3 linked regions of the Diceros bicornis minor genome follow. The protein of the gene in region 1 purifies or fractionates together with the protein of each later gene. This does not show direct contact. Links are inferred from orthologs where the notes say so. Each region holds a gene or a part of one and is shown in the gene's direction. Other genes may lie near its edges.

Evidence for each region. The genes of interacting proteins can lie anywhere in the genome.
Region 2: the proteins of AGO3 (region 1) and TNRC6A purify together in Homo sapiens (affinity purification with mass spectrometry; 7 studies listed by BioGRID and IntAct, with this or other methods). This does not show direct contact. The link is inferred for Diceros bicornis minor from reciprocal best matches to the Homo sapiens genes AGO3 and TNRC6A.
Region 3: the proteins of AGO3 (region 1) and DICER1 purify together in Homo sapiens (affinity purification with mass spectrometry; 3 studies listed by BioGRID and IntAct, with this or other methods). This does not show direct contact. The link is inferred for Diceros bicornis minor from reciprocal best matches to the Homo sapiens genes AGO3 and DICER1.

Annotation. Positions count from the first base shown.
Region 1 is NC_080752.1:50,187,792-50,198,170, forward strand, and holds the start of AGO3 (protein argonaute-3), read left to right. Parts: upstream 1-4,991; 5' UTR 4,992-5,058; intron 5,059-5,377; exon of another isoform or gene 5,378-5,531; 5' UTR 5,532-5,719; coding exon of another isoform or gene 5,720-5,723; coding exon 5,724-5,742; intron 5,743-10,379.
Region 2 is NC_080765.1:27,283,490-27,293,942, reverse strand, and holds the start of TNRC6A (trinucleotide repeat-containing gene 6A protein), read left to right. Parts: upstream 1-6,324; 5' UTR 6,325-6,448; coding exon 6,449-6,453; intron 6,454-6,818; coding exon 6,819-6,866; intron 6,867-10,453.
Region 3 is NC_080763.1:40,756,207-40,766,854, reverse strand, and holds the start of DICER1 (endoribonuclease Dicer), read left to right. Parts: upstream 1-6,519; 5' UTR 6,520-6,764; intron 6,765-10,648. UniProt on the Homo sapiens protein: Double-stranded RNA (dsRNA) endoribonuclease playing a central role in short dsRNA-mediated post-transcriptional gene silencing.

The DNA of each region.
Region 1 (10,379 bases):
CCATGTCGTTCACCACAATCACCACCACCACCTCCACCTCCCTCCTGTCCTCAGGAGATACTTGTAAAAGAATAAAATAAACAAACCTAATTTTGTTCCTAACTAGTGTCATAAATGGTGTTCCAGTGCACTCAATAGCACTTAGCAGCTTGCTCTATTTATTTTCATGACTTGTTTTCCCCAGAGCCTGTGAACTCCGAGGAGTGGAAACTACATTCTATTCATTTTTTTCATCTCAGGGCCATAGCATATATATCAAGGGGTCAATATTTGTGAATAGAATTGAAATGAGCTAGAAATATGTGGTTCATGAAAACAGAGTAGGGGGAATCAAGAAGTGATATTGAGTGCACAGGATGGACTCAGCATTCCTGAATCTTCAGGTAAGCAGAAATTTAACTAGATTACCATCATTTCTCACTCTCACTCCAACTTGGAGGCTCTGTGGTTTTGTCCCGTAAGCTGATGGTACAGTTGTCAAGCATGTAAGTTCTGGCATTCCTCCCTGGTACTGCTAGAGCTTGTTATTTCTGTGTACTGCTGAGGAGATGGCTCAGAGAAGGATTCTGGCGTAGAGCCCAGTGAGAAATTTTCAGTGGCAGCTAGTGTGTACATAAGTGCCTAGCATTCCTCTGGAGGCCAAGTGTTGTGACTTTTCAGATTGCAGAACTAACTTATGGCTACCACCTGCCAGATTCCCTTGGGAGCAAGCCAGCCAGACCCATGCTCCTTTTCAGCAGCAAGAGTTAATGAGGTTGGTTGAACTTGAAGAGCAAATTGGAACATGAAGGAGATTTTTCCCAGTCGAAATAAGACTTAAAATAAATTTATGACCCTTAATGAAGCAGAAATAAAGTATTTAGCAGAGGGAGTGGGAGGATGCTCATTATGGCGTATTTTTGCCATAAATTTTAGAAACTTTTTTTTTTTTTTTTTTGATACGGAAGATCAGCCCTGAGCTAACATCCATACCAATCCTCCTCTTTTTGCTGAGGAAGACTGGCCCTGGGCTAACATCCGTGCCCATCTTCTTCCACTTTATATGGGACGCCGCCACAGCATAGCCTGACAAGCGGTGCGTCAGTGCTTGCCCAGGATCCAAACCCCGGGCCGCCAGCAGCAGAGTGCGAGCACTTAACCACTATGCCACGGAGCCGGCACCTAGAAATTATTGATGTTAAAAGGTTTCAGGATTTGGCTGTTGGTTGCTACTCAAGAGAAAAAGATGGTGAGAGCCCAAGGCCTGATTTCTCTGGTCCTGGAGCTCAAGGTTTTGAGTTAAGGCTTGTCCTAGTACCCCTGGACATCCCTTTAGTATTGGTTGAGCAGCCTTCCCTTTGTCTTGTCAATTCGCAACATATACTGTAGCACATTCTTGTCTAGCAAGTGCCTTGGTGCAGAGAGAGGCTGGGTATTTGTTGGGTTATCTCTTGGCTTAGCAGACCCCAGAATCTCATGGCAGTTATGGTTTGGTGGCTCAAGGAAAGGGTTATAGTGCAAAGAGAAGACTGCTTTCAAGTTCTGAGCCTGGGCCACCCCCAAGCTGCTGTCTGTACTGCTGAATGGAGAGTAGCATTGAATTGGAAAATTAGCTCTCCCTTTTTGTTTCTGGCTTTCAGGACATTTATTCCTCTGGCTATAGGCTGAGGAAATCTGGCAAGCTTAGAAGATGCACAGAGCATGACAGAAGCATAGATGCTTTAAAGCATCCATGTCAAGAAGGAGGAGCTGGAAAAGTGGACTTGCTGGAGATGAGGTGCATTTAGAAGTTCTCCACTTAAGCACCACGACTGCTTTCCCCAGGACACGATATCAAGGTTTTTTAGGCCACTGTGGCTTACCCTGCAGGAACACACTGTCCTCTTGGCAGTGTTTTTTGGGGATAAAGAGGTCTTGAGGGACCTTTCTAGGGAGCCCTCCATACCTCTTCCCCTCCTTCTTAAGGCAAGGAACTTTCCTCTTAAAAGAGGCAATGGGAGCTCCCAGCCAAGTTTTTGGAAAAGGCCTGTGTGTTGTTAATGGAAGTGAACTGGAAAAGGAGGAGGAAGTTGGGTACTTTGAACTTTTGTACTACATGTTTTGTACAGTATCTATTATTTAATTGCATCTTCACAGCGTTCACGTGACGTAGTTTATCAGTTACCTTCAACTGTATATAACAAAACTCCAATTAAATTGGGTTAAATAAGGAAACTATCACTTGACAAGAAGTCCTGATTTAATATGGCTCCAAGGTTGGTTAAGTCACTGGCTCAATGATAATACCGACAAACCAGGTTGTTGCAGTCTTTCTGCTCTGCCATCCTCTGTGTTGGTTTATCTTCATGCTAGTTCACCTCAGGGTCCCAAGATGACTACTGTAATTCCAGGAAGGAAATGCTGACAGAAGGTGTCTAGCCGAAGAGGGACTAATTTTTCCCAGTGTCTCATTTTAAAGTGAGGAAATCCCTAGAAGCACCAGCAGATCTGGCCTCACGTCTCACTTGCTAGAAATGGATCATCTTTCCACTCCTATTCTGTCTTTGGCAAAGCAAATTAGATTGTCCATCATGCGTGGCTTAGATTAATTAGGAGTTACTCTGTGAGTCATGTGGATTAGAAAGACGAGTCATTTCTGCTAGGCAAGAAAGAAGGGGATAAGGGCTGTTGGCTAGGCATCCAGCAGTGTCTGCTCTGTGTAGGTACTCTGGTTTTTACAGATGAGGAATGTGAGGCTCAGAGAGAGTGACTTTCCTAGAATCACAGATGGTAGCAGAGGGCCTTCTGTCTGAGCTCTGTCCCTAGAGGCAGTATGTTTTATAATGTGTCTGCTGCAGTGCAAAGTAACTTTCTTTCTGCTGTGTAAAAACTGCTGGTCTAGAAGAGGTTTGAATTCGTGTCAAGTTGACTAACTTGAGCCCATGTGAGAGGAGAGGATTCTATCTAGAAGCTCTCCTCATCCAGTGATGATGTTTATCTAGCACAGGAAGCCTAGGAATGCCACTTTCAGAGGGCACTGATTTCCTTGTTCCTGAGATTTCTGTACTATTTCTGTAGGTCTCCCTTCTGAGAGCAACTAGTGCCACAAAGGATGAGGGTAGAGTTTTAGCCTGCTTCCTGAGCCCCGTTTTTGAAGCCCACTCATTTATTCATCCATCCATCTGTCCCACAAATATTTATTGAATGCTGCTATGTGCGGCACTGTTCTAGGCACTGGTGCTATGACAGTTAACAAGATACACAAAGACCCTGCTCTATGCCCCTTAAGAGCAGATTCATTTGGGAATGAGGTTATCGAAAAATACAGGAGTTTGTGTGGTCAGGGGAGAGCCTCATACAACTTCGCTTTTGGCAGAATTATTTAAACTTTTTTGCCTTTTCACTTTCTGATATTACAATTCATGAACCTTCCACATGGGCTAACTCTAAAGAGGCGGCGTCCCTGGGTTGCAGAAATAGATGGGAAGGCATCATTGACATTTATTAAATTGGCCCGAATTAGAGGGTCCAAATCCTGCTTCATCAATGTCAACAAAGAAGCCAGTGGCCTACCTCCAGGGTTTATCACCATCACCATTGGGAGAAGCCAAAGAAGCCTGCAATCATTTCGGGAACCAGTTTCAGATTCAGGGAGGGTTGACAGTGTGATAAACCCTTCACAAGAGTTGATATTTAACCTTGTCAGATGCTGCTACTGACTTGGATTGTGTACAGTCAGGGATTGAAAATAACTAAGATAGAGTGTTTCATCTGGTGACATTTAATTTCAAATATTAAAATTGGGGAGGGCAGTTTCATTCAAAGGGGTAGAGGTGGGAAGGAAAAAGGCAGAATCGGAGTCAGATGTGGGTTTGAATGCCATCCATTTATTAAGCTTTTACTGTATGGTAGGTGCATGTAAGAAGTGCTTTAAAATGGTAACTATAGTAAATACTTTTTTAATTCATTAACATTTAGGGGGGGTTTTCTCTGTGCTTAATGTATATTTCCTAACCTTGCAACAATTGTATAAGATATCTGTTATTCTCTCCGTTTTTCTGAGGAGGAAACTGAAGCCCACAGGTCAAGTGACTGATCCAAAGTCCCACAGAGATTGGGGGGAACCGAAGATGGGATGTTTTTTCTCCTTTTCCTCTTTGTCCCAAGCTTTAAAAAGAGAATCTATTTTGACTTTTCAGAAGTCTAAACAAAATTACTGATACTTAGGGGCATAGGGAAAATTCATGAATCATTCTTCTGCCTGAAAAAAGTAGTATCACCTTTCATTAAGGCAACAAATATTAAGGATTTACTATTTGCCAATTAGTATAATGGCCCTGGCAATCTTATAAAGCTTACATTCTAGTGGGGGAGGGGGCACACAAACTATTAAAACGAATTACAAATTGGGAAAAGGGTTATTAAGGAAATACTGTAATAGAATAAGGGGTGCCCCCACACCGTAGATGGGTGGCTGGGAAAAGGTCTCTCAGAGATAAGTCTGACGTTGGGGTATAAGAAGCGGCGGCGAAGGAAGGGGAGAAGGTGAGGGTAGAGAGAAAAGGAGAGGGTTACTGGCCAAGGGAACCAAAGGCAAGAGAGGCTCCAGGTCGGAAAGAGAAGCGCTTTGCCTGTTGGGGAAATTAAAAGCAGACCAGTATAGCTGTAGCATAGCGTTGAGGGAGTCTTGCTTGAGGAGAAAGGCTGGGGCCCCGTTGCGCCGTGTTTTGGCCCTGGAAAGGAGTTGTGGGTCTTCTCAGTGTGACGAGGCGCTATTCAGGACTTTTAAATATGGAAATTATTCGACCTGATATTTGTATAATGTTCTGTTCCTTCATCTTTACCCAAATTATATTGCACATTTTTTCCCTAAAAAAAAAAAAAGTCAGAGCGACCCTACGGACTTGGAGTGATCAACAGTGGCGGTCACTTGACCGCCTGCTGAGGAGGAGGCGCGTGGGACCGCCCAAACTGGGCGTGGCGGGAGGGGCTCGGGGAGGAGGGTGGCCCTGCCCAAGACGTGCTGGGCCTGGAGGCCCTCTCAGCTGCAGGTCTGGGTCCTGGACCTCAGCAGCCTCGCTCCAGCGGGCTCCTCCCCAGGTAAGCTATGCCGCCTTCTGCGACGTCGCCTCAGGCAGGCACTGCCGTGCACCAGGGTGGCGCGAGGGGTCCTGCCTCTTCGGGTTGTCTCCGGCCGGCACGGCCCAGCGGAGAACCGCTGGAGGGCCGGCCCTGCCCCGCTCCGCCCAGCTCCCCAGCCTCCGGCCGCGCGTGCCCCAGGCTCCGCCCAGGCTCGGCGCCGGCTCCCCGACACCTCCCCTGAGTCTCCGCTCCGGCCGCGCCCGCACCGACGTCGCGCCAGCCCGGCTTGGGGCGGAGACGCGAGGCTTAGATGTCGGGAAAGCCGGGGCAGCGGAACTGACGCCAGCGGACTTCCGGGGGCGGCCCCCGGGGAGGTCGGCGGCGGCGCCGCAGTCGTGGAGGGGCAGTGGGAGCGTAAGCGGCCCTGGGCGACGCAAGTTCCGCACGGGGCTCCCCTTCCTCGCCTCACGCGTCTCCTTCTTCTCGTATAGTCCTGTGCTGCTTCCCGACGGTGGCTCTTCCTGACGAGAGCCTTCGGAGTGCGGTTGCTGAGGAGAAGCCGTCGCTACCCCGCCTCGGGGTTGAGTGAGGGTGCCTGTCGCGCCGCGTCGCCCCCTGCGCCGCCTCCTTGCCCCCAGTGGCGGACGCCCTTCTCACTCGAAGCACTCCCCCCAGCTCCATGAATGGAAATCGGCTCCGCAGGTGAGTCAGAGCTGCTGGCCCGGTCGCTGGGGGTGTCCCCAGAGGCCCGTCGCTCCCTCCACCCTGGCCCAGGTGCGCGAGGTGAGCGCCGTCCGAGCGGCTTTCCCTCTCCGCCCCCGCCCGGCCCCGCCGCCGCCGCCCCGCAGCCCCGCCGCAGTTCCCCGGGGCCCCTGAGTAGGCGAAGCTGCGGGAGGGGACATTGCTTAAAGGATTGAAGTGTGGGGTTCTCTGGGGGGTATTAGCCTTTCGGGAGTCTAGAACGCTTTGCCATCGCTTTTGTTATTCCCGTTGAAGATGTAGCGGTGTGCGTGTCCTTTAACCGGGTTGTGTGTCCCATAGAGGCGCTGGGCGACCAGCCCTCTCCCTTGCCCCTTAAGCTAGTTGTGGAGATACGTTGAGATAACGGAGGAGACTTAAGTTTGAAATAGGTATTAGAGCAACGTCAAATGCAAGATGGCATTTCTTCCGTCCCCGAGTTCTCTCCTGATGTTTGTGGCAGCATGGTATATAGTTCCTGAGGATCTTGGAAATGTCATATCAGCCTGGATCACTGCTTGTGTGAGGAGGTGGATCTTAAAATTGCTGACAGTATATTTTTTTTCATTCCCTGTTCTCTAAAGAAGCAGTTGTCATGTTCCTGGAAATTAAGAAAATTGCTTTCTCTGCTTGGGAAAAACGGCAGTCTTGAGAAAAATTGCAACATGGGCAGTACTTACCTTAAAAAAAGAAAGAGCACTCTTTTATGGTTCTAAAGTAATTAATTGAGGGACGTAAAGTAAGTGTTACATAACGGTTTGCTTTCCAAATCGTCATGCTTTGTATGTTAAATTTGAAAGTATGCTTCATCTAGACAGTCACAAACTTATAAATTAATTTTCAGAATATTGGGGGGGGTGTCTTGTTACTAATGGTATCACAAGTCCCTGAATTTCACATCTGGTTTTGCCAATTTGGGAGGTACCTAAATATGAGATAAGAAAAACTTACATAAAAGAAACCAGTGACATAATGATGATAAAGAATTTGTTGATTGGGTTAAGGAGTATAATTGTTAAGTAGATACGGAAAGCACTCAGAAATTGTAGAGATGGGATGGGGAGAAGAGTTTATTACAAGTTTTATTATATGGAATTTTCTTTAATCAGTTTATACCATTTCTCTTTCGCATTCTCCATTTTTACCTTCATTTCTTTGTAGAAGAGAAAGCTTGTCTAGGTTGTGAAGAGTTTTAGATTCTCATTTTTTATCATTGATTTGTGTATTTCTGAAACTGTGTCCTGCCTTTGTTTTTCAATTTTCTACTATACTATTTAGGAAACGTGATGATTCGGGTCTATAGGTGATTTTTACATAACTGTCCTGTTGTCAAGCCCGGAAAACAAAACATGAAAGTTAAACACTTTATTAATCATCCTAAAACTTTTAAAGGTATTTCAAAAAAATTTTTTTAAGTTTTGTTTCTTTTTCTCCTTTGGGTTTTTCATATGAAATTATGCCCAGATATATGGACAGCATCTTAGAAAATACTTCTGAAGTCAAACCACCTAGCCAACTGGCCCACCTAGCCAAGTATGATTCAGTAAATGCTCCTGTGAGTTCTTGAGCTACAGATAAGTTTTATCTCTTCTTTTTGCATGTACCATTGCTGAAATATATACCCACTTAATTGTCTTCACATATGGGGAGGTATAGTTAGAGTTATCAACCATATGCTTGGGCATCTTGAAACGCAAAATTTATTCTTCAGTGCAGTTTATACATGATTGACTGTAATGTGATGATAAAGATAAGTATAATTTGGCTCAAGATCATCATCATCGAAAACAAAATTTCCATTCTACCTGATACTTACATGTAATTGTTATGCTGCACATGAAATTGAAGGCATAATTGGGAAAAATGTGCAACTAAGTTTTAAATCAAGAATTTGACAGATACATATTTTGGTTTAAAAAATTTTAGATGTAAATGGTCTCTAATAGTGTTGGATCTTACTCCTCCAATTCTGTTCTAAGTTTTTCTTTTCTGTGGAGATTCTTAAGAATCATCTTGTAACAGGGTATTTTAAATTCTAGTTGTTAGGTGGATACATAGAAAACAAATTTATTTACATTAGAAGACTTCGAATACAATTACTTTATAATTGTTTCTTGGTGAGTCATTCCTCACTAAAAATTAATATTTATTCTTTCCTTTTGCATGAAATATTTTAAGTGATTTTTAAGGGTGTCCTGTACAATCTACTGATTTAGTATTGTGTGAACTTTGATGTAACCAAAAAAGCTGGCACAATTGGTTTTTAAATAATAATAATCAGTAGTTTAGCATCTGTGCCTATGACTACTTAGGGGAACTTCTGATGAAACCCTATTTGTTAGCTGGACTAAGAGTATATGTTGTTTTAGTTCCAAAGAAAGTGGGAATAGAGAAAGCAGAAGTATTCATTGAGATATCACTTCTCCTGAGTAGCTGTTTTTTAGGATTGTACTATTCTAGTCTGTATTTTTGGGTAAAGTCAGACTACTGTTTAGGGCAAAACGAATTGTACTACTTACCAATGGAAGAAAAACATTTACTTTCACCTTAAATTAATGATATGCAAATTGATTTGACACGTTTGGTAGTTGTCTTATATAACCTTGCAAAAGTGAATAGACTGTTTCTTAGTTATACTCTTAAATTTGTGCTTGAATATAGTTATTTTAAGGCTCTGCATTTCTTTTTTTTTTTTTTTTGTGAGGAGATCAGCCTTGTGCTAACACCTGCCAATCCTCCTCTTTTTTTTTTTTTTTTTGGTGAGGAGATCAGCCCTGAGCTAACATCCACCAATCCTCCTCTTTTTTTTTGCTGAGGAAGACGGCCCTGGGCTAACATCCGTGCCCATCTTCCTCCACAATCCTCCTCTTTTTTTGCTGAGGAAGACTGGCCCTGGGCTAACATCCGTGCCCATCTTCCTCCACTTTGTATGGGACACCACCACTGCATGGCTTGCCAAGCGGTGTGTCAGTGCTCGCCCGGGATCCAAACCGGGGAACCCCGGGCCGCCGCAGCAGATCGAGAGCACTTAACCGCTTGCGCCACTGGGCTGGCCCTCTGCATTTCTTTAATAATAAAAATTAAGAGAAGTCATATAAGAACAAGTTCCAAAGAAACAAAAATTGCATGTATGGAAGGTCGATTTGAATGAAGTGTGGATAAAAGTGGGTTCAAAATACTAAAATATATAATGCCATTAGTTTCTCAGTTTAGTATTTAATTAATTAATTTTTTGTGTGTGAGGAAGATCAGCCCTGAGCTAACATCCATGCTAATCCTCCTCTTTTTGCTGAGGAAGACTGGCTCTTAGCTAACATCTATTGCCAATCCTCCTCCTTTTTTTTCCCCAAAGCCCCAGTAGATAGTTGTATGTCATAGTTGCACATCCTTCTTGTTGCTGTATGTGGGACACGGCCTCAGCATGGCCGGAGAAGCGGTGCGTAGGTGCACGCCCTGGATCCGAACCCGGGCCGCCAGTATCGGAGCTCGCATCGGAGCGCGCGCTCCTAACCGCTAAGCCATGGGGCCGGCCCACTCAGTTTAGTGTTTAAAATAAACAGTCTTCTTTAATCATTTTGAGAAGAGTTTTTATTTTTATGTAAATTTTCTCACTTGTAAATTTTTGTCTTGAAGAAAAATATGTCAAAATGCTGCTCTGTCTGGAGGGCATGAATTTTGAACATGGTTTTTCTACTTGGTTGTCACTTAAATTTTAGTTTGTGGTGCTCTGGAGTGGCCATTATAACTTTTTTCCTAGTATTTGCTACTTTTGACTGGCAGTGGGACTTATGAAAGTGTGCCAAGATTATTTTGATTTTTGTTTTAGAATTTAATTTCTCTGACGGTGATGGATCACTCTGAGGGAAAACTGAAAAGGAGGCAAGAAAACTTCTTTCTTCTAAACAAAGACTTTTTAAACCAAATTTCAAATTAATAAATCTATTAATTTAAAAAATTTTAGGGAATTAAGTAATTTAGGAAAGCAGTTATAATAAATGAAATGATTTCTAGATGCTACTTCCTTTTGCTCTTTTGGAGAATTTTATGTAGTAAGTTGGTAATTGAGGATTAATTTCTATTTCCCAATGAGAACATTGTATTTGTTTGGTTCTATAAGCCTGGTCTGATAGTAGTATGCAAAGAGGCCTGGGGCCCTGTAAAGGGGACATTTCCTGGAAGAGTTCTCTGTTGTATATGGAGAAACCCTAGCTCAGAGAAGAATTCTTGCCAAATTGTCATAAGCTATTGGAGTCTAGTTGAATACTATGTTGCTTTATATCACAACCATCTTTTTTCTCAGTAGTTTCCGTAGTCTTGAAATACTGGCGAGTCCACCTGAAAGATGAATTAAATATTTTGTTAGTCTAACAAAACATTTTCTCTTATGATACTTAAAACTAGGATCTTAAGTAATTTATGAGTTTTTTTCTTAATGGATAGGCAGGAAAAGGCAAGTGATAGTTCTGTTACCAGGAAGGTAAAACTAAAAAGATAATTTATTTAAAAATAGTATCCTTTCCAAACCTGTTTAGTTTCAGTTTGTTGAGATGAACAGCATTCACCAGACATTCCTACTTCTAATTCAGTTGTCTGGGATATTC
Region 2 (10,453 bases), on another chromosome or scaffold:
AGGGAGCTGGGCACCTTTTAGAAAAAGAACAAAGAGCTCTTGTATTTTCTAGAGCTTGTGAGCAAGGGGGAGTGAGTGGAGCTAACACTGGGGAGACACTGCAGATCATGTTAAAAATATTAGGCTCTGAATCAAGAGCCCTGGAAAGCCTTTGAATTATTTTAAGCTGGAGATTGAGATGATCAAGTTTTCATTTTAAGAAAAATCGCTAAGGCTGCTGTATGGAGAATGGTTTCAAGAGGCAAAGAGTGAATGTGTACAATGCTGGCCAGGATGTAGAGCAACCGGAACTTTTCCTGGGATTGGAAATGTAACCCGGGGTCACCATTTTAGAAGCATTTTATAGTTTCTTATATAGCTAAATAGACACTTATCCTGTGACTCAGTAATTCTATTCCTAGCTATTTATCCAAGAGAAATAAAAACATATGTCTACTGTCCACAAAAAAGACTTGTACAAGAACGTTCATAGCAGTTTTATTCATAATAACCCCGAAGTGGAAACAACCCAAATGTCAATGAACAGGAGGGTGGTAAACAAACTTTGGTACATTCATTCAATGGAATACTTCTCAATAATAAAAAGGAATGAACTTCTAATACATGCAACAACATGAATGACCCTCAGAGACATTAAGTTCAGCAAGAGAAGCCAGGCACAAAAGGATATATACTGTATGATTCCATTTATATGAGGTTCTAGAACAGACAGTACTAATTTATAGTGATATAAATCAGAAGAGTGGTTTCCTGGTGTCAGGGGGGTGTGTGTGTCAGTGCGGGGGAGGGCAGGGAGCAGATAAGTGATGAAAAGGGGCACAAGGGCATTTCCTGGGGTGACAGAAGTGTTCTATACATTGATTGCAGTAATGGTTACATAAGTGTGTTTATTTGTCAAAACTCATTGAATTTTTCACTTTAAATGTGTGCACTTTATTGTATGCAAAATATACCACAACCAGAAAAAAAAAAAAAAGAGGAAGAAAAAGAATCTGTGGAGTTTTCAGAGTGTACTGAGGGTGGCAGTGGAGAAGCAGAGGAAGGAAAGAATAAGTGAAGTTCGGAAACAAAATAACTTATTGATGCACGGATGCAGGGGAGGGAAGAGTCAAAACTGACTCAGGTTTCTGGCTGCGGCAGCTTGGTAACTGGTAGTGTTATACCGACGTGGAGAAAACTGTCCATTTTGGGGCAGGTTTGTGTGTGGTGGGGGGAGAGGGACAGAGAAGGAATAAGGAGACTAAATTTTGACCCGTCAGTCTGAGAGGCACCACGTGGCCCCCTTATACTAGACTTAATCCTGTTAATCCTACCTTTCTAGATTCTTCACTGGAGTATCAGACTTCCTCAGCATTCCTTCCTCTGCTCTTTTCTCACTCCATAGCAATGGTTCTCAACAAAGTAATACTTCACCTCCCCTCCACAGAGGGGTTGGGGAAACCAGTGAAGTGTTTTTGGTTGTCACAAAAAGGTGGGGCTGTGCTATTAAGTTTCAGTGGATAGGCGCCACGGATGCCAGACAGCGATAGTCCCACACAATAGAGAACTCCCCCTCTCACTGAACACTCACATAGGCAAAAGGCATGTTTATAATTATCTGAGGACCTAACACCTCACTTTGTCAGTCTTAATATACCCTAAAATTTCCAGTAATGCAATTACCACGTAAATCGAGGGAGAATTGTTTTCTAGTGGTTCAGAACTTGACTGAGAGTTGTTTTCTCTTCCAGATAAATTACGTCTCCAACATCACTACAGTTTTTGGCGTATTGGTAATCAATCCCACACTGCTGTGTCAGTCTGCATTTGTAGTAGTGATTCTACACATAGCTGTCAGCATCTGCCTACTTTACTGTGTCTTCCAGTGTAGACATTCTCAAGCATTTACATAGTGAAAGACATTTTATTTTGCTATACTTACTTTTCTCTTCTTTCTCCTTTATGTCAGTGATAAGTCATTATATATGATTTTTAAATTATGTTTTAGATAGATTATATTATCTATGATTATCATTTTGGAATAGTAAGGGGTAGTGTTACAAAGTATTTCTCATCAAAAGGGGCTGCAGCATCTAATATGGTTGAGAAAAACCGATCTACAATATAGTGGTTAGTGATCTGGGCTCCGGAGCCAAAATGCTTGGTTTTACCACTTACTATTTAGGTAACTTTGGCCAAGTTAATTATTGTCATCTGTAAAACGGGGCTAACATCCTCCCTCATAGGGCTGTGTGAGCACAACAATAACGATTAGTTAATATTTGTAAAGCACTTAGAACAGCACATGACTGGCACATATTAAGTACCAAATAAATTTTAGTTAGATAAAATAAATACGGTCTCTCCAGGAAATCTTATGCATGTTCATGTCTTCAATTTCCATTTATACATTATTGCAGAAAATTTCCTAAATTTAAAAATATTTTGAGTGAGCTTTGCCTAAAAAAATACATGTATATCTCAACATGGTATTTGGTAGAGCCTTAGGAGAAAAGAATGCTTTTCTTTCAAGTACATAATTTTCCAAGTATTAGGCTAATCATTCACCTTTCTCAGGAAGACAAAGAAGAGAGGGTTGAAGAACATTTATGTTCTGGTAAAATCAGAAACCAACGGAACGAAAAACCCAAGGAAGAAAGACAAGTGGCAAAAAGGTTTTAAGTTTAAATTTGTACAGCCTCTGTTTCTTATTATGGTCACTAAGAAGCAACAAGAAGCTTCCTAAGATAGTTACAGATTCTTCCTAAGCTATTCCATAGAAAGTTACTGTAGGAAAGACATTTAATGTTATATACAAATTCTCGAACTGTAAACCTCAACCATGAGGCAAGGAAAATACTCTAATATTCACTTAATCTAGAAAATATGCCTGTTGTAGGAAATGGCATTTGCTTACTCAAATGAGCTGTGTTAATGAAACCCATTACTCTACAGAGGACCTTGTTTCTGGTTTTGTTCCTAATTGATTATGCAAGTAAAATAAAAATGGTGGCTCCACTGGATTTAAAGCCAAATACAATAGGAAGCCTGTTTTCATTCACAATGAGGACCCATAAATTTAAACCTCCAGCCTGAGACCCCTCCTTTGCTGTTCCCTGGATCCTGAGTTGGCTGCCCCTCATCCTTCAGCTCTCAACTGAAGCTTTACACTGTCAAAGAAACCCTGTTTGACCACACAATCTGTGTCATCTTCTTTTGTTTTACACTTTCTTAGAGCAACAGTTCTTTCCTTCTGTGCACTTGTCATAATTTTTACTTATAAGCTTTATAGTTTTCTTAAAAAAAAATCTGTCTCCTGCATTAGACTTAATCCACCAGAAAGGTTCCTTACAAGTGCCAGAGAACCAGGCCCTAGTACATTTCCTAGTACATAGCAGGTGCTCAATAAATATGTGTTGCCCGGGGGAAGTGTCATTTTGGCATTCTAGGGTACACAGTTGAGATAGGGGCTAAAGATATGAATGTGAGAGTCATCTGCATTTAGATAGTATTTAAATACAGGAGAATGGATGAGATCACTCATTCTAAGGAGAAAGTGGAGATGAGACAGGGAAAAGTCTTGAACAGAGCCTTGGGGACCTCCAACATTTAATAGGCATAAAGCAAGAGATGCTGGCAAAGGAAACAAAACAAAGGAATGGCTAGAGAGGTAAAAAGAAATTCAGGAGAATGTGCTGCCAAGACAGCCAGGAAAAGAGACCTTCTTAAGAAGGTGGGGGTGGGTAGTTGTGGCAAATACAGCTAAGAAATAAATGAAGATCAGAATAGAAATGTTACCATTGAGTTTGCGGCTTCTAGGTCATTTGTGACCTTGATAAGAGTGATTTTGAGGGAGAAGTGAGGGATGTCAGCTTAGAGTGAGTTGGGAAAGGAGGTGCTGGAAGCAGCTGGCGTAGAACACTTTTTCAAGAAGCTTTGCTGGGAAGGAGAGCAAAACAATGAAGCTGGAGAGGAATGAAGCATCAACAAAGTTGTTTTGGTTTTGTTTGCATTTTTTTTTTTTTTAGTGGAAGTTACTAGAATATGTTTGTATGGTGATGGGAAATATTCAATATAAAGAGAGATTAATTATTTAATAAAGAGAAAGAATGACAAGAGGAGAAGATCCCTTAGTAGGTTCCTGATAAGGAATCAGTGCTGATCTTATATTGTCATTCTTCTTTGACCTACCCTTATGCACCAAGTTTAAGTAAGAGATCATTAAAAAGTGATTAGTTTGACTTCATAATGCAGCCCTGAAGGGGTCATATGGGACATGTCAACCACTCTGGAAAGAACTTCAAGAAATTCTATCTCCTCAGTTTCCCTGGGGCTGGGAATTAGTTCCAGTGTTTCTCAACCTTGTGTGCTATTGGCATTTTGGTTCAAATGCTCTTGTGTCGTGGGGGACTGTTCTGTGCATTGTAGGATGTTTAGCAGGATTCCTGGCCTCTACTCACTAGATAACCGGTAGCATCCAGTTGTGACAACCAAAAACCAGCCATTGCTAAATGTCCTTTGGGGGGGATGTGTGCAAAATTGCCCCAATTGAGAACCACTGAGTTATTCAAACCTAAGAAAGTCTAACAACAACAACAACAAACCAGCTAATCTTACCTGTGTAAATGTTGATAAATACTACTGTTTTCATTGCCTTATGCTGTTGTGGAAAATTATTCATGAACCTGGTGTGAAAGCCTATTGTGCTATACATACATGTTAGTATTTTTTAACTCCTAAAGAGATACTGTAATATAATTTTTAACATTTTAGTAGAAAGAACAATAAAAGAAAACCAAACCAAATACATGTATGGATGAATCAACCTTAGGGATGATGGCAGGAAAAGGAAAGTCACTAGCATGTATTGGTGGTCCCTACATTTTATATTTTGTAAACTTGATTTAAAAAAACCTTTTTTCACATGCTCATTGTATAAAAATGAAACAAACAAAAAACCCCCCAAAAGCCAGATACATTAAGAGAAGAAAATTAAAAACCTCATAATGTCATCAGTTAATATTTTGGTGCATATGCTTTAGGACTTTCTGTGCATCCATCCATTCATTTATTCATTAACTTATTTATTACACATCTCCCTCAAAGTGGTTAGGAACCAGGCAGTGAAGGCGATTTTGTTTTTTTTTAATGGGAGAGATTTGGGCATGTTCTCAAGCCAGTGGAAGGACCTATTTAGAAAGAGGAAAATGGTATGATCCATAGAGTGAGGTTTCCGAGAAGGAATGAATTTTAAGCAGAAGAGGATTTATCTTTAGGAAAAAAAAGCATTGTGAGAGGATGGAAAAAATACACACATATTACACAGGGATATATGTATCTTATTGTATCTACATGTATGTATATTGCTGTATCTACCTGTAGGTATGTAAGCATCTTGTATCCACATGTAGGTATTATTTTTTAACTTTATCTACACGTATGTATCTTACTGTGTCTATATGTTTTTTTACCATGTGAGCCACTTTTGGTACCTGCTTTTTCACCTTTTCTACTGTAACCATTTTCCCCATTCCGTTAGTCTTCCTCCACATCATTTTTACAGTATCCTAAGGCATACCAGGAGTTCGGTTTTTAAGGCCACCTCCTAATGTTGGACATTTTAGCCGTTTACAGTTTTTACTATCATCAATGCCCGGACTTGATATCTTGGCGGTGTAATATTCGCAGATAACTCAGATTATTTTCTGAACAGAAATTCGGGCAAGTGGAATTGTCGAGTCAATGGTCTGCAAAATTCGGTAGATACAAATCGCTTTTAAACCTCACCGCCCGCCTCAGGTACGCATTCTTTACCTGCGGAGGAAACAGAGAAGCAGGGAGGTTAAATAATTGGCCCAAGGTCAAAAATGATTAGAAGTGGCGGATTTCAAAAGCCGGAGCGGGCTCATCACCCTGCAGCAAGGGTAGAATTTGCGGTTTAGGCGATTTTTTTTTTTTTTTTTTGATGTGTGTGTCAGTGGGGGAGGGGCCGGGTGGCAGGGAAGGAAACTTGTGTCGCAGCAAAGAAGGAGGAGGAGGGGAGGGACTCGAGTCAGATCAGAGGCGGCCGCGGCGAGAAAGGCTGGGCTCGGGGCTCGGCGGGCCCCCCAGCCGCTCCGCGGGGCGCCTCGGAGGCTGTGAGGCCCGCCAGGGAGGTCCGGCGGGGGGCCGCGCGCCGCGCCCGGGCGGTTGCCAAGGGCCTGCCCCGTCTGCGGGTCCAGTTGCTAGGGCCTCCATCTTGAGGCCGCCGGCCGCGGCGCCCCCGGAAGGGGTTGCCGAGTGGGGCATTCACTTCCGGTCTGAGGCCTGCGGCGGCTGTGGCGGCGGCGGCGGCGGCGGCGGCGGCAGCGGGTCGGTGTAGAAAATGGCGCTGGTGCAGCGGCTCGGGCCTCTCCCCGCGGCGCTGCGGAGGGCTTGAGGCTCGCGAGCCTCACTCGCCGCGCCCCACTTGCTCGTGCACTTTACACACATGAGGTGAGCGGGGCGGGGGCCTCCCTCCGGGCGGGAGGAGCCTCGGGCGCTGCCGCAGGGCCCGCGACTGGGGGCGGCGGCGGCGGCGCCGGGCGTCCCGGGGACCTCGGGGCTTGGCGGGGGGCGCGGGCGGCGCCGCTGCGGAGGCCGGGCGGCAGGCCCGGAGGGGCCGCGCTGCGCCGCTGGGGCCGGGCCGGGGGCTGCGGCTCGCCCGCGCCGCCTGCCCGCAGTCCGGGCTGCAGCCCCGCAGCTTTGTGAGCCCCCCCGGGCGCCCCTCCCCTCCCCCATCCGGCTCCGGCGCGAGCCTCTGCCGCAGCAGCTCCGTTTTCACGCGCATCTCTCACTCTTTCTTTTCTTTTCTGTTCCAGAGAATTGGAAGCTAAAGCTACCAAAGACGTAGAAAGGAATCTTAGCAGGTAAGATGGGCGAGCTTTCCGTCTCTCGCCCCGTTAATCGTGTATTTCCACTCTGGTTCGCCCTTTCTGGGGTTATAAGTTCCCCCGTGTCATTTTCTTTCGCACGCAGGGGACAGGCATTCGGGAGAAGAGGCCAGAGGGAATATTGGATGGAGGGATTCCGGGGAGATGCGTAATTACGCGTGTGTTCCTTTCTTTGTGGGGGGGGAACAGCGAAAAGCAATTCTTGTAAACTTAGTTAAAGCATTCTTACCCTTTTAGAATTTAATTAGGGGACTTGTGCATTAATTACTATTGTAAATGGTTGCAGGCATTGTGTGACTCATGATTGAGGCGGCCCTTATGGCGGGCTGTCAAACTGTTTTGGCTTCCCCGTTATTACTTTGTAACTCAAATTGTTGCCCTTATAAAAAGATACTATGTGTTCGCATTTTTTTCAGCACATTGTAGTCAGGCGGGTTCTGTTGCAGTGGAAACAGTTTTGCCCTTGAACTTTACCAAGCATAAACTGTTTTGTTTTTTTTTTTGAAACTACGTTTGTGTCTACGTTCGATGTGTGCCCTTTTAATAGCCGGTAAAATAATTAAAAACCTGTTCCCATTAAGTGGTTATCATTGCTTTTGGGCCTGAGTGCTTTTGCACTGGTATCTTAAATCATCGCCACAAAGGGAGTTTTTTGTTTTTTAAACGATGCCTTCATGGAAATATTCAGCGTTATTGAGCTGTAATTGCTTAAGCATCAGGGCATTGCACTGGATTTAACTCTTTTTCACATTCATGTTGTCTTACAGTCTTTTCCTTTCTTATTCGCCGTTTTCTTTTGCATCATATTGGGACACTCGAGAAACTTCTAGATTAATTTAATCAGTGAGCAGCTTTCACTTGGATAGAATGAAATAAAATTTCTCCTATCTCAGTTCTTAATATAATTTGTGCTTGATGACTGTTTTTAGATTTATGTTGAGGTTTATTAACACTCACAAATCAAATCGTCTGGTTACTTTTCACCACATAGAATCATTCCAAATTGCTGGTCTTTTGAGTTTTATAGATATTAATCTGTTAAGGTGATCATTAAAGAATCTGTTTGGTTGGTGAAGGATGGGCATTATTGGCTTACCAAATAAGAGATTTTTTTGTTATTCAGAATAATTATGGGATCATTTAAAGGAAATTAACCCTGACATCACTGACTAAGTAACTGTTCATTGGACATTTAAGTAAGTTTTATTGTCAAAAGTTATTAAATGTTAAGATATGAAACCATGAAAGAAAACAGGTTGAGTTTTTAAGGTGTAATTTCAGCAGCAGAAAGGAGCTTGGAGTTTGGGTCTGTTTCTCCTTCCATTTTTGCTTTGTCAGGTAATTGTATCAGTATAATTCCTATGGAGGTTTTCTGGGACTTAATTAAAAATTGTGTCTACCACAGGTATAATTTTTATATACTATTACAGTTGGATAGAACTTGGAGTTTCTGTATCGGAATTTGAATCCCAGCTCTGCCACTTACAATATGACCTTGACTCTTGGCAAATCACTTAGCCTCTGTGCCTAATCTATAAAACAGAGGTTTGGGCCAGCCAGTTGCAAAGGTCTGTAGGCCCTTGGGTTATGTAAAGGGAGTCACGGGAGTCATATAAAAAGGCCACAGAGAGCATGTACAATCTGGTAGGCAAACTAATAAGTATTAAATAACTAATACAAGGTCAGTGATGTAGGGATCAGAAGAAGATACCATCCCATTGATATACTTGAGGATCTTCAGTTGGTCAGAAGGAACGAAAAGGAAAAATAAGTGTCAAGGAGGTTACAAGGCAGTGTGTACTAAGGACCATGAGAGGGGAACATTTCCTAAAGGGTGAAAGTGTTCTGAGGAGGGAGAGATGTGATTAGGTGGGCAACTGCTTCCGTTCAATTCTCTCTAGTTCTATGCTTCCTTTTTCCCAGATAAGAAGAGTATATCTGTCTTGACCCATTCGTGCTCTCCCCAGGAAGTCAAGGCATTATTTTCCAATAAACATTTCTTGAGCATCTTCCATGTTCCAAGTGCGAGACTAGGCACTAGGGAGGGGAAGAATGGCAGTAGCTAAATTTATTGAATGCTTCTATCTGCCTTGACACTCTTTTCTGAAGACTTTACATGGACTCATCTGATCCCTGGAACACTGTGTGAGGTAGGTACTATTATCCTTGTTTTATGGATGAAGAATTTGGGACACCAAGAGGTTAAGGAACTTTCAGGAGGCCACACCACTGGTAAGTAATTGGAGGAGCTGTCGAGCTTTGAACTATATTGTATTGTCTCTTACTAGAGGCGTGGTTCTTTACATTGAAAAATTTGAAAATCTCCTTGGGGAGGCAGAACCCACAGATACGTGCAGTTCTTCTAGATCAGAGTTTCTTACCTGGGTACTGTTGATATTTTGGACCAGAAAATTTATTGTTGTGAAGTCTGCCCTGTGCATTGTGGGATGCTGGACAGCATCTGCCAGTGGCACTCCCCACCCAGTTGTGACAATCAAAAATGTGTTCAGATATTGCCAGATATCCCCTGGGGGGCAAGAGTCACCCCCAGTTGAGAACCACTGTTTTAGATCTTTACATTTCGTGAAGATAACTGAAGATTTGGATTTTTAAGGTGAAATCTTTAAATGTTAAATTAATTTAAACTTTTTTTTGGGGGGTGGGGGTGAGATCAGCCCTGAGCTAACATCCATGCCAGTCCTCCTCTTTTTGCTGAGGAAGACCTGCTCTGAGCTAACATACATTGTCAATTCTTCTTCTTTTTTTTTTTTTCCCTTTTTCTCCCCAAAGCCCCAGTAGATAGTTGTATGTCATAGTTGCACATCCTTCTAGTTGCCGTATGTGGGACGGACGCCGCCTCAGCATGGCCGGAGAAGCGGTGCGTCGGTGTGCGCTCGGGATCCGAACCGGGTCTGCCAGTGGCGGAGCGTGTACACTTAACTGCCAAGCCACGGGGCAGGCCCCAATTTAAACGTTTTAATACCATGAAAGTCCAAACTCTATTTTGTGGACCGCTAGTTTGGAAGCTCTGTCTCTGAATATCAGAGATGTATTTCCATTCTCCTTTTCCTCTGCAAAGCTGCAAATCCTCCTCAAGACAGTGTGCCAGGTAGCCAGTGCCATTTAAACAAAATTGGCACAAAAGATAAATTTAGTTTACTACCCTAGGTAAACTCTTTCTTAATTCACTGTTGGCCATTAAAATTGTCACTTTATAGTCAGTGTCATGGGTGTTCAAAAGAGGGAACTATAATGTCTACATGGGAGTTCTCACCGTTGGAACTGAACTTTAAAGAATGGAATCAATTTTGAAAAGCAGAGAAAAGGGTAGTGTAAGAAGAGGAGCAGAAAAAAGGCACAAAATCCAGAAAGTACAGGGAATTTTTAAATAGCAGTGAGTAGTTCATTGGATTGGCATATAAAGTTGGGAGCAGATGCAGAGGTTCTTAAATATCAGGTTGAGGAATTTTTACATGAATCTTTAGATAGTGGGGAGCTATTGTATGTTTTTGGGTGGGTAGTGATATGATAGAATAATGATAACTAGTGATCTAGGCAAGACC
Region 3 (10,648 bases), on another chromosome or scaffold:
GTCAAATTGTAAATTTCTCCGAATAAATCCTGCTAGGATTTTGATTGGAACTGCCTAGAATCTATAGATCAATTTGGGGGAGAACTGACATCTTTATGATACTGAGTCTTTGTTCCATGAACATGGTCTACCTCTCCATTTATTTAGGTCTTCTTTACTTTCTCTTATCAGTGTTTTGTAGTTTTCAACATAAAACTCTTGCACATATTTTGTTAGATTTATCCCCAAATATTTCATGTCTTTTGATGTTATTCTGATACTTTAAAATTTCAGTTTCCAATTGTCTATTGATGGTATATAGAAATATAAATGATTTTTGCATATTGACCTCATATCCAGTGATCTTGGTAAACTCATATATTAGTTCTAGTAGGTCTTTTGCAGATTCTTTAGAATTTTCTACAGCTTTACTTCTTTTTCTTGCTTTTAATTTCACTTTTTGTTTGAAAATAATTCCAAACATAAAAGTTGCAAGAAAGTTGTCATTGTTAATTTTATGTGTCTACTAGACTGGCCTAAGGGATGCCCAGATAGCTGGTAAAACATAATTTCTGGGTATGTGTGAGCGTGTTTCTGGAAGAGATTAGCATTTGATTCAGTAGACTGAGTCATGAGATCCGCCACCCTCCACAGTGTGGACGGGCATCATCCAATCTGTTGGGGGCCTGAACAGAACAAAAAGGCAAAGGAAGGGCAAAGTCTTTCTCTTTTCTTGAGCTGGGATGTCCATCTTCTCCTGCCCTCGGACAAGAGAGCTTCAGACTCTAGGACTTACACTAATGGCCCCTTGGTTCTCAGGCCTTTGGACTTAGACTAAATTATACTGCCAGCTTTCCTGGTTCTCCAGCTTGCATACAGCAGACTGTAGGACTTCTTGGCCTCCATAACTGCATGAGCCAATTCCCATAATAAATCTCCTCTTATATTTATCTATATATCCTGTTAGTTCTGTTTCTCTGGAGAACTCTGACTAATACACAAGCACAAAGAACTCCATATGCCCTTCACTCAGAAACTCCATTCACTTTTCACCAATTATACCAATAATATCTTTTAGGGCAAAAAGATCTAAACCAGGATTACACATTGCACTTACTTGTCATGTACCTTCAGTGTCCTTCATTCTAAAACTGTTTTTTAGTCCTTCTTCGACCTTCATAATCTTAAAATTTTTGACGATTATGAGCCAATCGTTTTGTAGACTAACACTCAATTTGAGTTTGTCCAATGTTTCCTCTAATATTCAAAACATGCATTTTTGGCAGAAATACTACAGAAGCGACGCTGTAGCACCTGATGTTGATTTGTCCCATCACAGGTGACATTAATGATCAGAGACGAATCTGGATGGCCCTGGAGGCTCCTTTCCGTCCCTCTTTTCATAGCAGAGCTGAGAGCCCGCTAAGCTGGACTGAGTAGGTCTGCAGAGAGACCAGACCTTGGGCCAGTGTCAATATTCCTAGTGGGCAAGGCTGTCCCCAGGGCCCTCTGAGCAGACCTTGGCCCTTGGTGTGCTTACTTCCTGGCACTCTACCTGGGGTTTCCTTTGATGTATTTCTTACTACTCAGAGAAACTAGGAATTCCCTAAGCCCAATTAGGCTAACATATAAATATGTAACACAGTGTGGGAGTGGGGCCCACTTTCCATCCTGGGCTCTGGCTCTGTCTGTTGTACACCTGGCTGCTGGAACCTTGGCCACAGTGCACACACAGCAGCTATGCTTGGCCTATGCCGTGCAACAATTTAAGTTCAGGGGGCAGCATGCACTCTGCCACTTCTCTGCATGTAAGTTTCCCCCCAAAAACCCCATGTGGCACCGGTGGGGTGTGTGTCTGACCCTTGCATGACAGTTAACTTTGAGTACTCGAGTAAGGTGGTGTCTGCTAGAGTCTCTTTTGTCAAGTTCTCATTTTTAAAATAAGAATGTTACGGGGACATGCTTTGAACCTATGCAAATATCTCATTCCTTGTCCAACTTCTACCCACTAGATTTAGCAAATATTGCTATTTCTTGTCTGACGATTGCCAAATGGTGACTTTCTAATTCCATTATTCCTTCTAAATTTATTAGTTACAGTCTACTCTAAGGAAGAGCTGTCTCTTTTCCCCATTTATTTATTCATTTTTAAAAAACATCAGTCTGGACTCATGGATTCTATTTTATTCCAATGGAATATAATCTCTTACTATCATATTTTATTTTGATGCTCAAATTTCCCAGATTTGGCCAGTGGGAGCCCCTTCAAGCTGACTGCTTTGTCCTTTTGAAATGTCTCTATCGTTCTTTGAGCATTTTCATACTTTCTGGCACAATAAGATGTTCCAGGCTCCTGTATATGATACTTCTACGTTTATATTTATTTTTATATCTATATATATTGAAAACTTTGAATTCACATCAATACTTCTAATTCCAATCCAATCTCTCAAGCCTTCTTGCTTTTCCCTGTTCTGTATTTGTAGCCCCTTCTCCAACAGTGAGAACTCTGGCTTCCATTATCTTCCATATAGTTTTTTCTTTGTGTAGTCCCCCTGTAGATGGCCACCTACCTTTGCAGGACAGCCGCCCCACCTTCCTTGTTGGGGCTCTGACTCCACACGGGGCTGACTTCCTAGCTGAACATGAGGGTGGCTATATTCTCCTATGTAGATGAAAAAGCAGAATCAGTCAGTAGAGGGAGATACACAGATGAAGCAGAATCACAAAAAAGAATCACAGAAGGACAGAGAGAGCAACTTTTAAGTTCCCGGAAGCTTTCCAATTCTTGGTTCCAGTTATTTGCTAAGATGTACCTGTATTCCCGCTCCTGGCTTTTGTGAGAAGCTCCTACATCCTTATGACAAACTCTTCCCTTTTGGTTAAGCTACTTCATGATGGTTTCTGTTACTTGCAAACAGAGAGTCTTAAACAAGGTATATTTATATCCTGGAATGTGCTACAAAAAATAAAACAAATTGTAGAAATAATCATGGCAAAGGGAAAATAAAAATTAGCACACAGAAAATGCATACCACATGGTACTGTACTGTTGCTTAACATGAGCTGAAATATTAGCTCCAAGATTTCTAGTGATCCATACAAAGTGTGAAATGTTATCCTTTACAAGATTTTATGTCTCCAGATTTAAAACAAACCAGCAACTGGAGCATGGATAGACCATTGGAACAAAATACAGGGCCTAGAAGTGAACTCTTCAACAATGGCCAATAAATGGCAAACTGTGTAGCCATCCAGAAAAAAAATTAATTTGGATCCATACCTCACCCCATATATTGAATCATTTCCAAATGGATCAGTGTTTTATTGCAAAAGACTGGAAGTCTAAATCTCCATCAATAGAGAATTCGTTAAATAAATTATAGCACATCTCTGTAATAAAATGTTATGGGGATTGGGGGGCTGGCCCCGTGGCTTAGCAGTTAAGTGTGCACGCTCCGCTACTGGCGGCCCGGGTTCGGATCCCGGGCGCGCATCGATGCACCGCTTCTCCAGCCATGCTGAGGCAGCGCCCCACATACAGCAACTAGAAGAATGTGCAACTATGACATACAACTATCTATTGGGGCTTTGGGGAAAAAAAAGGAGGAGGATTGGCAATAGATGTTAGCTCAGAGCCGGTCTTCCTCAGCAAAAAGAGGAGGATTGGCATGGAATGTTAGCTCAGGCCTGATCTTCCTCACACACACACACACACAAAATGTTATGGGGATTGAATAAAATAGCAAGGAGCTCTGTATATATTGCTGTAGACATATCTTTTTGATATATTAAGTAAAAAAAGCAAGGTATAGTATACGTGTATGGCACACTATCACTTTTGTAAATGAGGAACGTCTTGGCTTGTATATGCATAAAAAAGTTCTCTAGAAGAAGGAGCAAGAAACAATGGTTACCGTTTGAGGCATGGGGACAGGTATGGGGGAGATATTCTTTTTACTGTATACCTTTTTATGCTTTCTGATGGATACACCATATGTATGTACTACTTAATTTTTTTATTGAGGTAACATACGTTTATGACATTATATAATTTCAGGTGTACATCATTATATTTCGACTTCTGTATAGACTACATCGTGTTCACCACCAAATGTCTAGTTGCCATCTGTCACCATACAAATGTGCCCCTTTACCCCTTTTGCCCTCCCCTCACCCCCCTTCCCCTCTGGTGACCACCAATCCATTCTCTTTATCTATATGTTTGTCTGTCTGTTGTTTTTTCATCTGCCACATATGAGTGAAATCATATGGCATTTGGCTTTCTCCATCTCACTTATTTCACTTTGCATAATACCCTCCAGGTCCATCCATGTTGTTTGAAATGGCAAGATTTCATCTTTCTTTATGGCCAAATAGTATTCCATTGTGTATGTATACCACATCAACTTTATCTATTCATCTGTCAATGGGCACTTAGGTTGTTTCCAAGTCTTGGCTATTGCAAATAATGCTGCAATGAACATAGGGGTGCATACATCTTTTCAAATTAGTGTTTTTGTGTTCACTGGATAAATACCTAGAAGTGGAATAGCTGGATCATATTGTAGCTCTATTTTTAATTTTTTGAGGAATCTGCTGTTTTCCATAGTGGCTGCACCAGTTTACATTCCCACCAGCAGTCTATGAGGGTTCCCTTTTTTCCACATCCTCTCCAACACTTGTTATTTCTTGTCTTCTAGCCATTCTGATGGGCATGAGGTGATACCTCACTGTGGTTTTGATTTGCATTTCCCTAATAATTAGTGATGTTGAACATCTTTTCATTCGCCTGTTGGCCATCTGTATATCTTCTTTGGAGAATCTCTGTTCAGATCCTCTGCCCATGTTTTAATCGAGTTGTTGTACCACTTATTTCAAAAATTAAAAAAATTGATGAAAATCAGACAAACCTGCTGATGGAGAAACCCAGCTGATCTTGACAGACTGAGGCAACAGCAGGAGGGGATGCAAGTTTTACCTGCCCACAAATTTCCACTGCTAGTGGACCGTGGTGCCTACCCCCGCCTTGAGATGCCATCCTTCTCATAAAGGATTATCTCCCAAAAGCCTTTACGCATATGACTGGGGAGGTCTACTGCCCACAGTGCTTGACATACAAGAAACATTATTTTTACGGAGGTCTGCCAAGAGCATTCTGACTACTTCCTAATTTTGCCCATGAACATTCTATGTTTAGGTGAAACTTCTATCTGACCAATTTACAGTAAATATATGATTAAAATTTGATCACCGCAGTGACTGAATACATCAGCCCTGAAGCCAGACTACCCGGGTTCAAATCTCAGTTATTCACTTAGTAGCTGCTTACCTGATGGAGGTTATTAATTTTCTTCATCTGTTAAAACAGGGGGCAATCACAGCACCTACCTCACAGGCTCCACATAAAGATCACAGGCTTACACTACCCTGGTCAATTCACGCTAGCCACCTAAGACATTAAAATTTTTCTATTACTCACATTAAAAAAAATGAAACTAGATTTATCCCAATATATCAAAAACATCACTTCCACATGTAATCAATATAAGAAGTTATTTGTGAGATGTTTTACATTCTCTTTTGGTAAAGAACACATACATCTGAGCTCCAACTAGCACGTCTCAATTAGCACTACCCATATTTTTAGTGCTCAGTAGGCACACGGGGCTAGTAACCACTGTATGGAACCGCGCAAACCCAGACAGTCTGGGGAGTAGGTGCCAAGAGCTAACTCTTACTAGCAGAAGTATGGTTGCTGGTACCATCCCTCCTCTGCAGTAAACCAGTGTATCACTGAGTCCTCTGGCAGAGCTGCCTACACTTTGGGATAAACTAACAGGACTTTCTTTAAGCTAGTCACCTAATTGACCTCCAGGTTTTAATTCACAGCTACAAGGTATGGTACACGGTTGCGACCCCAGCAAATGAACGACTTACATAACCGGGGCCGCTGTCCCCATCTCGTTTTCTGGTTATCCCTGTTCCGGGGTGGGAGTGGGGTGGGGTTTGTCGTCTCCCCAATTGCGGAGGGCCCTGCACCACTAACGCGGGGGACGAGCAGGCAAGCGGGAAGGTCTTGACAAAGTGAAGGGGGGAGTGGCAAAAGGGGCGCGCAGCCCTCGGGAGAACAATCACCGCCGGGGGGCAGGGCCACGTTTAGGGGGCGGTGGGTGCCAGACGGGCAACAATGGAGGCGGGCGAATGCAGAGAGCCAGGAAGTTCTGCCAGCCTGCGAGCGTCCGCCGCCTCAGCGCGCGGGGCCCGGGGGCTGCAGAGGCGGCGGGCGGTGGGCGGCCGGCTCCAGTCCCGGCGCTGGGCCGCAAACGCCGCCTGGGCCTCCGCCGCCCGCGTCCGCTGTCTCCCGGCTCCTGAGTGGCTGGGGGGCCGGGGTTAACCTTTCACCGCCGCGCCGCGTCCAATCACAGGCCCGCTCTCATGCCGGCGCGGGCGAGCGGAGCGTGGGGGCGCGGCGGGGCGGCGCGGGCGCCGGTGGGATTCTCCAAGCGGCGGTGCGCCGTTGCCGCGGGCCGTGCGCGGGCTGCGGGCGAGCCGGGCGCTGCGCAGTCTCCGCAGGCGCCAGCGGGAGGGGTCGCGGCGCGGCGCAGGCGGCTCCAGGCCCAGGTGAATGGAGTAACCTGACAGCGGGGACGCGGCGACGGCGAGCGGGAGGAAATGGCGGCGGCGGCGGCGGCGCCGGGCGGCACCGGGAGGCCTGGGCTGTGACGCGCGCGCCGGAGCGGGGTCCGATGGTTCTCGAAGGCCCGCGGCGCCCCGTGCTGCAGGTGAGGCGGGCTCCCGCGGAGCCGCTTTGTGTCGGGGCGGGGAGCGGCGCCGCCCGGCCCCGCGCCCGCCTCCACGCCGAGGCCCGCATGGGCGCGCTGGGCCCGCGCTCCGGCCTGGCCCGCGGGGGACACCGGCGCGGGCCGATGCGCGGCCTCGCCTGGTCCCGGGCGGCGCGGCCTGCGGGGTCGGGGCCCCCGCCGGGCTCTGCGCCTCCCCGACCGCGGCGGCCCTCTGGGTGGGCGCTGTGGAGGGACCCCGTGCGCTCGCCCGGGCAGCGGGTGGGCACGCGGACTGGAGCCTGTCCTCCCCGCTCGCCCGCAGCCCGTGGAGAGCGGGGCTCTGACGGGTCGGGTGGCGCACCGAGAGGTGCGGAGTGCGCAGCGGCACCTGGAGCATCCTCGGGCCCTGCCCTGCTGGGGGCCGCTCCGCTGGGCCTCCGCGGACCCCTTGGAGAGGGCTGGGAGGGAAGGAAGCCGGGCTGTCGGTGCTGGCAGGAAAGCGCGAGCTTCGGGGCCCGCCCGCGGAGGATTGTTCGTGTTTATTGGCAGGTGACCAGATCTGGGTCCCACGGGGCGGGTGGCCGAGGCCATCTTTCCGCCCCTCCCCTCCGATGTTTTTGTACCCAAACGCCTGGACCCTGCCCAAGGAGCCTTTCTTAAGGATTTTTAATCTTTAGGAAATCAGTGTATGTTTTAAGTTAGACCGTGAGATTTCTGTAGATTGTCTAGAAAAGCTGAGCTGCCCCGATGGCTTTGCCCGCAGCACGGAGCTAACAAACCACTTAATGCATCTTTAATAGCCTGAAGATTTGCAAAAACAGATGAGTGGGGACTCCTGGCTCTATGGTGTTCGGTCAGTGCTTTTGTGGGGAAGTCGTGCTTAAAGGGACACGTTACTGACCCACAAGATAAGTCTAAGCGTTCTTAGACTTTCACGGTTTAAAAACATTCATCTTATTCAAGAGTGTTACTTTGAAGTCTGTGTCTTTGAGATGCTTCTGTCTTTGGATTTTCTGAATCTTGACGGTTTTGATTTTCAGTTGTCTTCGTGTCGCTTGTTTTTCAAGTACAGCGCACTCAGTGAAGGGAAAACGGCAGAAGTTAGGAGTTAAGAAACTTGGAAAGTATTTTTTAAAAAAATGCTTTAATAAAAGGTTAAGTTGAAAATGTGTTGGTGTAAACATTAAGTTTTCTAAATAAAAATACCCATCTTAACCAAGAGCTCCAATAATTTATTGAAGGATGGATGATGGTACAGGATTCTGAATGAGGCTGCTAGTAAGTTGTAATTTTAGTATCACTAATATCTTTGGAACTAGCTAGGTTCTAGAATAATCTGTTTATTTTGCAGAGTGTCTTTATTTTGCAGAGTGTCTTTAAAGCTAGCTAGCTACCTGTGGCACGTGTATATTATGTGTCATATGTGCTGTATATACACACACACACATAATTGTTTTGAAACTTTATTTTAGGCCATATTTTATAAAACTGTCTATAGATTAGAAATACTAAAAGGTTGCTTTTAATAGGGTCGCTGTAAACATTTAAATTGGTAATTTTGGTTCATGGATTAATTCATGGCATCAAAATGCTGTTTTAAGTAAAGATGTATTAGTTGAATTTAATTTGGGGAGAAAAGACCGTCTTTTCCTGCAGTTATTTTAGTAAGGGCTTGTTTTACTTTTTATGCTCTCATCTCATCACTGAAGGTTCAGTTGTCTGCTGTGCTAGGTCTGAGGCCCCGTGTGTGAGTTGTATAACGAGGCGGTTTTGCCGTTGCTGAGTTTTGTTGTCTTGGCTTTGGAAGGCTTTTATTTTGATGTGGTTCATGATTCTTGTTAGATGGTGATGTTGTGGTGTTACATGGTGGGTTGTACTTTTAGAGTAGTGCTGCCTTCTAGGAAGGATGACTTTTATGGCACTGAGATATTTATTCCCGGCCACTGTCTGACACAGGAGATGCTTGTTTTGTTTGAGAAAGTAGGTTTTTCATAGACATTCTCTCACTTGTGACCTTAGCTTCCTGTGGTCATCACTGTGGCAAAGGAGAGAATGATAACGTTTATAAGTGCCTGCTTATTATGTGCCAGGATGTTTCAGGTGCCTCTATATCCGTTCTCATTTAATCTTCATGGTGACCCTGAGACAAACTCAACACTGTCCTTATTGTACACGCAAGGAAACTAGGACTCGGAGATAGTTGCCCCAAGTTATGGTTCTAGAAGTGGCAGAGCCAGGATTGAATCATGGTTTGATTTCAGAGTCCTTGTGTTGTATTGCATTGCTATTCCAAGTGGATTTTAGGGGAAAACCTGCATAACACATAGGTCAGACCTTAGCTAATACTTGTTGAATAAGTGAAACTGTCTACCCTTAAATGTTCAGGGGACCTCTGATTATCTGAATAAGTCAGATTTTTTTTTTGGTGGTCAAATATACATAACAAAATTTACTGTTCTAACCCTTTTTAAGTGTACAGTTTGTGGCACTAAGTACATTCACATTGTTTTGCAACCATCACCACCATCCATCTCCAGATCTTTTTCATCTTCCTCAGCTGAAGCTCTATTCATTAAACACTAACTCCCCATTCCACCCTCCTCCCAGCCCCAGGTAACCACTCTTCTGACTTCTGTCTCTATGAATCTGACTACTCTTGGAACCTCATATGAGTGGAATCATACAGTATTTGTCCTTTTGTGACTGGCTTGTTTCACTTAGCATAGCATCTTCAGGATTCATTCATGTTGTAGCATGTGTCAGAATTTCCTTTCTTTTTAAGGTTGAATAATACTTCGTTTTGTATATACGCACACCACATTTTGCTTATCTGTGTGTCCATCGATGGACACTTGGGTTGCTTCTACCTTTTGGCTATTGTGAATAAAGCTGCTATGAACATGGGTTTACAAATATCTGTTTGAGTCCCTGCTTTCACTTCTTTTGGGTATATACCCAGAAGTGGTCAGATTGTTTCTTGATCATCAAAACACTAGACTCGGCATTTATTGCAATATGAGTTTTTTCAGGGCTGTTTCAGATAGTTATACTTTCCTACAAACAATTCCTCTGTGTCAGTAAAAGACCTTAATCTCCTTGAGGCCCAGGATTTACTCTTTTTTATGATCTCAGTTCCTCTTAGTGTTTGGCGGGTAGATATTCAGATAACTGGATTTGTTCAGTTGATCATCATGGAGCTGTGTTGGCTCTGTTGCATGCTGAGGAAGGCACCAGTAAGGTCCGCGTTGAACTTGTGCAAAAAGTGAGTTGGAGCCAAGTGGCTTATCCTGTTTACCTTCTGCTCTGCTTTTTAGATGTTTAGGAGTTTAGCTCATTCTAAAAGCCCAATGGATGCAGATGTTTTATTATTTGTCTACTTCAAGAAAGGATTTGAGATGGTCATAGAATAGGTGTTTGAGAGGACTATGAAAATAAAGGTAAAGATTGAGGGGTAGAGTGGAGGGAGCTGCAGGGAATTTGATGAGGAGCTTGGGGAAGGATAGCTCAGCATCTGCTGTAACTCAAGGCTTTTTTAAAAAAATTTTATTAGTCAAAGCAAGAGAGGAAACAGGACTAATTATAGTTGGCATTGATGAATGAAAGGAAGTATACCAATTAATCAGGAGAAGCAGACTTTTCTCTCGTATGAAGAATAAGAGTTTAAATTCTTACATAAAATGACATTAACAATATGTGGAGAAAATGTTTTACATTTTACAGTGATAGAGAAACATTTTTCACGTGCCATTTTAGAGAAACTGGATAAAAGCCTCAGGCATAATAGAAAAGCTTTAGTAATAGAGGTGTACATTGTTCTGGTGACTTGAATTATTAGAATTTAGTTAGTTTATCTTTCATATGCCGTCTGTCAAATACCAATTGTC